Linked DNA regions of Macaca mulatta. The protein of the gene in region 2 purifies or fractionates together with the protein of the main gene of each other region. This does not show direct contact. Links are inferred from orthologs where the notes say so. Each region holds a gene or a part of one and is shown on either strand. Other genes may lie near its edges.

Region 1 (4,337 bases), on a different chromosome or scaffold from region 2:
CCCTGATCGCCTGGGTGTGAACAGGGCCCTGCGCTGGGAGAGGAAGCAGATGCCAGAAATGCCAGTGGGCCCTGGAGTGGCTTCAGTTGCGGCTGCCTTGGCCCTCCTGTCACCACGTTGTTTGGGAAGGCAGGGAGGTGCTCTCCGGTTTCACAGAATTGTTCACAAAATTAGTGGGGAGTCTGAGGGGCGGTGATGTGGTTTAGACCAGCTCCCAGGCATGGGCAGAGTTGGCCGCCAATACCTGGGTACTGGCTTCCTCCCTTCCTGAGGACGGGAAGGCGCCTGGAGCACAGATGGCAGGTGGGGTCTTGGCAGCCTGGAGCCCGCTCACCCGTGCCCCAGAGCAGGTGTGTGCTGCCCTCCAGTGGCCATAGTGGGGACTGCAGGGCTGGCGGGTGGAGAGAGGGCGTTGGCCTCAGGGTTCCTGACCGTTTGCCAAGGCGCTGACCGACCTCCCTTCCAGGACATGGAAAATAAAATCAGAAGTACGCTGAACGAGATCTACTTTGGAAAAACAAAGGATATCGTCAATGGGCTGAGGTAATGTACCAGAAAGCACACGCTTTAGAAGCAGAAAGAGGGGTTTGAACCCTGGCTCTGCCAGTTACTAGCTGTGTGGTCTTGGGCCTCGGTTTTCTCATTTTCAGGCTGCAGTGCCCCTCTTCTAGGATGATCATGATGGTGATTTTGGAAAGTAAAGTCCTGGTGTGTCATCTGCACTCTCAGTAGCAGCTGTCGGTCCCTACCTGTACCGTTTTCTGGGGCACGTTCACCCTAGCAGCCATTGGTACCCTTGCCCCCAGAGCCTCCTCAGCCCTGCAGTTTGTCAGTCCCCACTCAAAAATCTGCCCAGCCCCTCCAGCCTGGGCCTAGGGGAGCCATGACACTACATCCCAGGCAGCCCGGCCGCCTCTGGCTGGCCTGCTTTCCGAGACAGCAGAGCACAATGTGCAGGCAGGGCCCTCAGCCCGGGCCTTCTCAGGGGGCCCCCAGCCTCTCTGACGTCCTCTGCCAGGGCTCTGCTACCAGTGGCCAATGTCCTGCACTGTCCCACCCACCTCGTGCCCTCGTCTCTGCAGTGTCAGCCTGAACAAAAGCTGGGGGCTCTCTGGACCCTCCAGGTCCATGGTGGACAGAGCAGGAGGCAGGCCTCTGACATGAGGCCAGAGCCCAGCTGGGGGCAGTAGACAGCTGTGGAGTGAGCACTGGCCTTGGAGTCAGGAGGCTGGGATCTCCCCTAAGCTCTGTCATCCTGAGCTGTGTGGCCTCTGGCACTCCTCGAAGAGGCCCTTGTCCGATGGAGGAGGCAGGGTCGGCTGAGATGGTGAATCTAGAACACGCTCTGCAGTCCAGCAGCACCATGTGAGTCGGGCCATGCTATGCCCTTAGCAGCCAGCCCTCTCACCCACTGCCGTGACATAGCTCTCACAGCCCAGCCCAGAGGAGAGGCAGGTTGCAGTTCTGTTGCTGCACCAGCTCATGGACTGGGGTGGGTGACAGATTTCAGTCGCCTGCTTTATAGTTTTAAAACAGAGGAGTCCTCCTCTTTGGACCCTGGTCTTCTGATCTCCTGCCCACCTGGGGGAGGTTTGGTCTTCATGACCTGTGACAGGGTCAGAGCCCAGTGGTCCGTGGTGTTAGGCCTGCCACCTGCAGCCACTGCCCAATACACCAAACGCACTTTCCCGCCCAGCCAACCTACACAGTCCCCAGGCAGTGGCTGGGAAGTGGGGGAGAGAAGCGGAAGAGCCTATGGGTGGTGGTGGCGAGCCCCTGAAAACCACGGCCACCGCCAGCGTGGGCCTCTGCAGCGGTGATACCACTCTACAGCCCAGAGCCGCTGCGGCACCCCCCTTCCGCCTCGTGGGTCTCCCTGAATTTCCTCCTCAGCTGTGGCCCCCTGCGTTCCTGGCTTCTCGTGGTTCTCTTCCCTCCCACTCCACTCATCTTGAACACTCTCTGTAGATCTATTGATGCTATCCCTGACAACCAAAAGTTTAAGCAGTTGCAGAGGGAGCTCTCTCAAGTGCTGACCCAGCGCCAGATCTACATCCAGCCTGATAATTAAGCCGATCCAGGTACCCTGCCTGAGAGCCGCGAGACCCTCCCCACTAAAACAGGACTCACCAACCCGCCGAGACCCTGCCGGTCCGGCTGCTGCTGCGCGGCCATTTAAAACACCACTAACCCCCACGTGTGCTCCCGGCCGGTGCGCAGCCGCATTCCCGTGTAGCCGCGGCCCTGTGTAACACGGCACCTATCACGTGTGTGCGCTTTCCACTCTGGGCGGAGGTTGGGTGTGGGGAAGACGGCTGATTTTTTGGCTTTTGCTTCTGAAAAAACCCAGGCCAAGGGACGGATGCTGCCTCTCCAGCAGCAGCCCCTTGTGTGCACCGGCCTGACTGTCCCCAGGGCAGGGGTCTGCGTGCTGTCCACTCCCCATGCTTCAGAGGAGCCTCGGATGCTGGTGCAGGGATCCTAGAAGCCTTATAAGCCCCTGTTCAGCGGTACATTGGCTGTCCAGGGCTAGCTGGCTTGGAAGGGGTGACCTCCGCTCTGATCTCGGAGTCTCTGGGGTTGGAGGGCAGAGTCAGGGCTGGACTCCACCCCGGCCGGCCCCGATGCTCTGCTGGAGCTGCCTGGACGCCCAGTGCAGACTCGGCCTCAACCAGCATAACCTTCCGCCCCTAACGAGCTGCAGCTGTTCCTTTAAACAGGTTCTGCGGATGGAAAGGAAAATAGTCTTGCTTGTTGGTAATGGCCAAGAACCATGACTTGAGCTTGTGACAGATCCAGATGTAGGGAAGGAGGCAGCATCCCTGGAGAGCAGGAGGGAAACTTGTCTGTAAAAGAAGGCATTTGGAACCCTGCCAGCTGGGGCTGCAGAGTCCAGGTCCAGGGGCTCCACACTGAAGGCCCACCCCAGAAGGGGGTGCAGCAGGCTTTCCAAGGTGGAGGTGGGGGTCAGGCACTTAGAAAACCAGGCGGAGCTGCTTTTCCAAGGCCGTGGGACTTAAGTGCACCAGTCTAGTCTGTGTGTGCCAACTTAAGGCCCAAGACTCCGGTCAGCCTCACAGTGGGGCCATCAGGCATTTCCATCGTGGCATTGAGAAAAAACCCTTTTTAAGGTACACTGTGATGGTGCAGTTACCTGGCCGCCCACTGGGGGCGTCCTGGCGTAGAAACCCTGACAGCCAGGTCTGCTTAGGACGACTCCTCCCTCCCACAGAGGCGAGCTCTGTCTCCAAGCGCTGATTCGAGGGTGCTTGGCCGTGACCTTCCCAAGCTCTGTCCCTTAAATGAGCCCCCTGCTCCTTCCGCCTTCCACCATTTCACTTCTAACTTCCTGTGTCTAACTTGATTCTGGCTCTGGAACTTTCTCCTTTGTGCAGTCCAGCCAAGACCTGATGGGCTTGGCTCTTCCTTCCCAGAAGAGCCAGTGACCACCCAGGCTAGGGGTCTTGTGCGCTGCTGCTTTGCCCACCGCATCTCCTGCTGGCCATGTTGACCTCCCGCTGTGAGCTTGGCAAGAAGCCCCTGGGGAATCGGCTGAGATTTGGAGCCTGAGGGTCATGAGGGCTGATGCCTTTGGCTGCTGCAGAGCCAGGGACAGTCCTGGGAAGATACTCAGAAACGTGTAGTTCCCCAGCATGAACCAAATGTCCGCGTTTCTCCTGGGAGTTTTCTCAGTTGTATGCAGCTTGCTTCCAGGTCTTGTCTGTGGCACCTGCTGAGTATTTTGAGGGCTCTTCCTGTGACTTGTAGGGATTCAGTAGCCGGAACTCAATCTGGGTGCTGTTGCTTCTCCTGGGCCCTGCTTCACTTCTATTTACCCATTTTTGCATTTGGGGACTGATTTTTCTGATTCTTCCTTCCCATGGCTGGTGTGAATCAAACGTGAGAGTCCAGCTGAGTGCACCCTCCGTAGCACTCTTGGGCAGCCCTCTACCCACTCCTTCCACTGCTTCTAAACTGTTATAAAACCCACTTTTAGGAAGTCATTGCCTAACCAATATGTTGGGTAAATTTGACAAAATGATCAAAGAATTGCTAGCGGGCATTCCTCTGGGCCTCAGTTTCCGGATCTGTAAATTGGATTGATAGCTTTTTTTTTTTTTTTTTTTTAAAGCCTTGACTTTGCTCTTTTTTGTTGTTGTTGTAGAGATGGGGTCTCACTGTGTTGCCCAGGCTGGTCTCGAACTCCCGGCCTTAAATGATCCTCCCGCCTTGGCCTTCCAAAGTGCTGGGATTATAGGCTTGAGCCACCACATCTGGCTGGGTTGATAGTTGAGACTACCCCAGGATGCCCGTAAGAATTAAATGAGATAATATAT
Region 2 (5,044 bases):
TCCTGGGCTTAAGCAGCTCTCCCACCTCAGCCACTTGACAGGCACACACCACCTCACCCAGCTGATTTTCTAAAAAACGTTTTTTGTAGAGACAGGGCCTCACAATGTTTCCCAGGCTGGTCTTGAATTTCCAAGCTAAAGCGATCCTCCCGCCTTGTCCTCCCAAAGTGCTAGGATTACAGATGTGAGCCCCCGCGCCCAGCTTTTCCAGCCTTCTGTGTCTTTCAGATGTAGGGTTTGCATATGCACATAGGGTTGTTTCTACATCTCATCTCAGTTAAGAGGCAGTGTGGTGTGATAACCTTATACTACCATTGGTAGGCCTTCTGGACTTGACTTCTGTTTCATTCCCCAAAAACAGATTTGAGATGGGAACTAGGAAGTATGGAAATGGGCCAGACGTGGTGACTTATGCCTGTAATCTCAGCACTTTGAGAGACCAAGGCAGGAGGATTACTTGAGGCCAGGAGTTTGAGAGCCTGGGCAATGTAGTGAAACCCCGTCTCTAAAAAAAAATTTTTTTTTTTTTTTGGCTGGGTGCGGTGGCTCACGCCTGTAATCCCAGCACTTTGGGAGGCCGAGGCGGGCAGATCACAAGGTGAGGAGATCGAGACCATGCTGGCTAATACGGTGAAACCCCATCTCTACTAAAAAATACAAAAAATTAGCCGGATGTGGTGGTGGGCGCCTGTAGTCCCAGCTACTCGGGAGACTGAGGCAGGAGAATGGCATGAACCCAGGAGGCGGAGCTTGCAGTGAGCCGAGATCGCGCCACTGCACTCCAACCCGGGTGACAGAGCAAGACTCCGTTTCAAAAAAAAAAAAATTTTTTTTAATATCCCAGTATGGTGATGTGTGCCAGTAGTCCAAGCTGCTCCAGAGGCTGAGGCTGGAGGATAGTTTGAGCCCAGGAGTTTGACACTGTAGTGAGCTATGATTGCTCCGCTGGAGTGCTAAGCACTCCAGCCTGAGTGGTGGAGTGAGACCTCGTGTCTAAAGGGGGGGAAAAAAAAAGGCAGAGGAAGTATGGGGATAAACACAGTAATATGGTGTCATTCAAGATGAGGCCTGCCTGTTTGCTTCTAGCTGCTCACACCCAAATTGATCAAAGACTTTGAACAGTACCAGGGTCATTGGCTTTGCTCGGGCTCAAAGCCAAGTAGAGTTGCTTGCCTTGGTATCGGGGGTGGCCATTAGTCTGGTTCTTGCCGCTTCATGCATGCTGGGCAACTTGGGTGGCTGTCCACATGTGTGGTTTTAACTCATGTGGACCGATGGGCTTCTGTCTCAGTAGTCTGCTCGCATGGTGTGTTGACTGTTTCTTCTCTCTGTGTAGCTTTGGTGTGAAGCTTATGGACTTCCAGGCCCACCGGCGGGGTGGCACTCTAAATAGAAAGCACATATCCCCTGCTTTCCAGCCGCCACTCCCACCTACAGATGGCAGCACCGTGGCGCCCGCTGGCCCAGAGCCCCCTCCCCAGAGCTCTAGGGCTGAAAGCAGCTCTGGGGGTGGGACTGTCCCCTCCTCTGCAGGCATACTGGAGCAGGGGCCGAGCCCAGGTGACGGCAGGTAAGGAGGCCGACTTCTGCTGGCAGTGGAGGCTGGACGCCCCAACCTACTTGCAGGTGGTGGCCTTTGGGCACGGCATCCACGGCCCAAAGAACTGCTCCAGCATGGAGTGAACAGATTTGCTTTCACTCCTCTGGTTGGCAAAAGACGGAAAAAAAGACTATGAATGGCTCGCTTCTTTTTATGTTTTCCAAAGAAAGCAACATTGGTTTGCGTTCTTTGCCACACTGCTTTGGTGCTGGAAACCGGAAGGCAGTGGGTGTCTCATAGTGTGTTAAGCCTCTGTCACCTGTTTGATGGACACTGTCAGCATTTATGTACTATCTGTTCGTTGTCATCCAGTGTGCTAACCAGGAAGCATTTGAATGTGGCAAGTTAGTTAAATTTTAGTATTACTAGTATTTATTCACTCATCATTCATTGATTCAGTCAGACAGATTGACCAAGTCACTGATATGTGCTGGCCACTGTGCTGGGCACATGAGGTGACTAAGACTTCACTCCACACCCCCAGATTTCAGTCTTGTAGGGCAGTTGATCCATGAGTCCAAGGTGGAAAATAAGATGGTAGCTTTTCTTTTTTCTTTTCTTTCTTTTTTTTTTTTTTTTTCTGAGACTGCGTCTTGCTCTGTTGCCCAGGCTGGAGTTCAATGGCATGATCGTAGCTCACTGCACCCTCCGCCTCCTAGGCCCAAGCAATCCTCCTACGTAAGCCTGCCAAGTAGCTGGGATTACAGGTGCTTGTCACCATGCCCAGCTAATTTTTTTTATTTTTTTGTAAAGATGGGGTAAACATAGATGCCCTAGGTTACCCAGGCTGATCTCGAACTCCTGGCCTCAAGTAATCTTCCTGCCTCAGCCTTCGAAAATAGTGGAATTACAGGCGTGAGCCACCATGCCTGCCTGGTAGATTTTCTTAAAAGTCTCTTTTAGTTGCTTAACCTTTGGATTAGCCACCTGGAGTGGGCTGCAAATGGATAGCAACTTTTAAGAAAAGGCACCTTGAACCTGAGTTTTTTTTTGTTTTTGTTTTTGTTTTTTGAGACAGAGTCCCACTCTGTCGCCTAGGCTGGAGTGCAACCAGATCTTGGGTCACTGCAACCTCCCCTCCTGGGTTCACGTGATTCTCTTATCTCAGCCTCCCAAGTAGCTGGGATTACAGGCACACACCACCATGCCCGGCTAATTTTTTTGTATTTTTAGTAGAGACAGGGTTTCACCATGTTGGTCAGGCTGGTCTCAAACTCCTGACCTCAGGTGATCCACCTGCCTCGGCCTCCCAAAATGCTGGGATTACAGGTGTGAGCCACTGCACCCGGCCAGAACTTGAGATTTTTATTTAATTGACATTAATTCAGTTCTCCACACTGATCCAGGCAGATAACCACCAGAGGCTACTTCAGGTGGCATCCCTTGTGGTTTGGAACTGACCGCTGCTCAGCTCTGCACACGTGCGCCAAAATTTCTGTTGTCATGTGTTCTGCACTGGCCACCCACAACACACCGAATGATCACACACGAAGTAAAATAAACATACACAGAACAAGGACAGGCCATTTATCCACACGTTTATTTCCCACGCAGAGTGATGAATTTGCCTTGGAAGAACTCCTTTCTCATCGTCCTTGGGATGAGCAAGGGAGAGCCTCGTTGTGTGTGAAGCTGCTCATGAGATAGGAATCTTGTTTCACCATTTAAACTGAATGCTGAATGCTTTGTGCATTCCTGAATTCCATTTTCCTCACCTTGGGAAAGTTTACTATGGCATTAAAAAAAATTAAGGCTTCAGACTTCATAGGGCTTCCCATGCACGTCATAGGCTCCACGTTAGCTTGTCAATAATTGTACCCCATGTGTATACTTGTTTTGGTTTAAATTGTTTTGTTTGAAGGGAAAAAGTCTAAGCGAATTCACTTATTTTCTTTTTCTTGTTTTTGTTTTTTATTTTTATTTATTTATTTTTTTGAGACAAAGTCTCACTCTGTTGCCCAGGCTGGAAAGCAGTAGTGCAGTCTTGGCTCACTGCAACCTCCGCCTCCTGGGTTCAAATGATTCTCCTGCCTCAGCCTCCGGAGTAGCTGGAATTACAGGCATGCACCACAATGCCCGGCTAATTTTTGTGTTTTCAGTAGAGATGGGGTTTCACCATGTTTGCCAGGCTGGTCGCGATCTCCTGACCTCAAGTGATCCACCCGCCTTGGCCTCCCAAAGTGCTGGGATTACAGGCGTGAGCTGCTGCCCCGGCCTGTTTTTTGTCTTGTTTTATTTTTCAGACAGGGTCTTGCTCTGTCACCCACACTGGAGGGCAGTGGCGTGATCATGGCTCACTACAGCCTTTTAATCTCCCAGGCTCAAGCAACGTTCCCACCTCAGCCTCCCAGCTGGGACTATACTCGTGCACCCCCATGCCCTGCTAATTTTTAAAATTTTTTGTCGTAACAAGGTCTTACTGTGTTGCCCAGGCTGGTCTTGAATCCTGGTCTCAAGCAATCCTCCGTCCTCCGCCTGCCAAAGTGCTGGGATTACAGGCATGAGCCACCACGACCAGCCAATTTACATATTTTCATTTCCTTGTGACATTCAATTTGTTTAATCAAGGCTAAATGTATTGTTTAAGACAATAATTAGTCTTAACGCAGAAGGACAAATGGAATGTCAGTCATTTTGCTTTTTTTTTTTTTGAGACAGGATCTCGCTCTGTCCCCTGGGCTGGAGTGCAGTGGCATGATCTTGACTCACGGCAACCTCCACCTCCTGGATTCAAGTGATTCTCCCACCTCAGCCTCTAGAGTAGCTGGGACTACAGGCATGAGCCACCACACCTGGCTAATATTTGCATTTTTGGTAGAGACGGGGTTTCACCATGTTGGCCAGGCTGGTCTCGAACTCCTGACCTCAAGTGATCCACCCGCCTCAGCCTCCCAAAGTGCTGGCATTATAGGCATGAGTCACTGTGCCCGGCCTGCTCTTTGTTTTTTTATACTGTATTCTGTAGGTATTTTAATGTACATTACACTAATGTTATTCACTCTTTGGTGACCTTGACAAAATGGAGCTTTAATGTTTGGTATAAAAAGTTCTGGGCCAGGAAACAGGAAGCCTGAGTTCTGATCTCTGTCCTGCTGCCACCAACTCTGGACTTCGAGTAGTCATTTAGCCTCTGAGTTCTCCTTCAGTTCAAGTTATTGATAATAATCAAGCCCTTTATCATTTAGAGTCTTATTTTACCGTGGCTTTTGCTTAGTTTTGTATAGTATATATGTCAACATCTAAAAGCCCTTTCATGATATTAATAGTACTGCCCAATTTAAGTCCAAACACAGTAGAGCTGAAAACTCTGCATTGGTTGCTTTGAAATGATCTCTCTCATGATACTGGAGTGGCAGAGTCGTTGGAGTCCAGTCTGTTGCAATGAATCTCATAAAATAAATAGTCCTATAGTCCCAGCTACTCAGGATGCTGAGGCAGGAGGAT

Evidence for each region. The genes of interacting proteins can lie anywhere in the genome.
Region 1: the proteins of ARHGAP17 (region 2) and CAPZB purify together in Homo sapiens (affinity purification with mass spectrometry; 3 studies listed by BioGRID and IntAct, with this or other methods). This does not show direct contact. The link is inferred for Macaca mulatta from reciprocal best matches to the Homo sapiens genes ARHGAP17 and CAPZB.

What each region holds. Positions count from the first base shown.
Region 1 is NC_133406.1:221,631,277-221,635,613, forward strand, and holds part of CAPZB (F-actin-capping protein subunit beta), read left to right. Parts: intron 1-466; coding exon 467-543; intron 544-1,968; coding exon 1,969-2,071; 3' UTR 2,072-2,081; intron 2,082-4,337. UniProt on the Homo sapiens protein: F-actin-capping proteins bind in a Ca(2+)-independent manner to the fast growing ends of actin filaments (barbed end) thereby blocking the exchange of subunits at these ends.
Region 2 is NC_133425.1:24,493,461-24,498,504, reverse strand, and holds part of ARHGAP17 (rho GTPase-activating protein 17), read left to right. Parts: intron 1-1,336; coding exon 1,337-1,570; intron 1,571-5,044. UniProt on the Homo sapiens protein: Rho GTPase-activating protein involved in the maintenance of tight junction by regulating the activity of CDC42, thereby playing a central role in apical polarity of epithelial cells.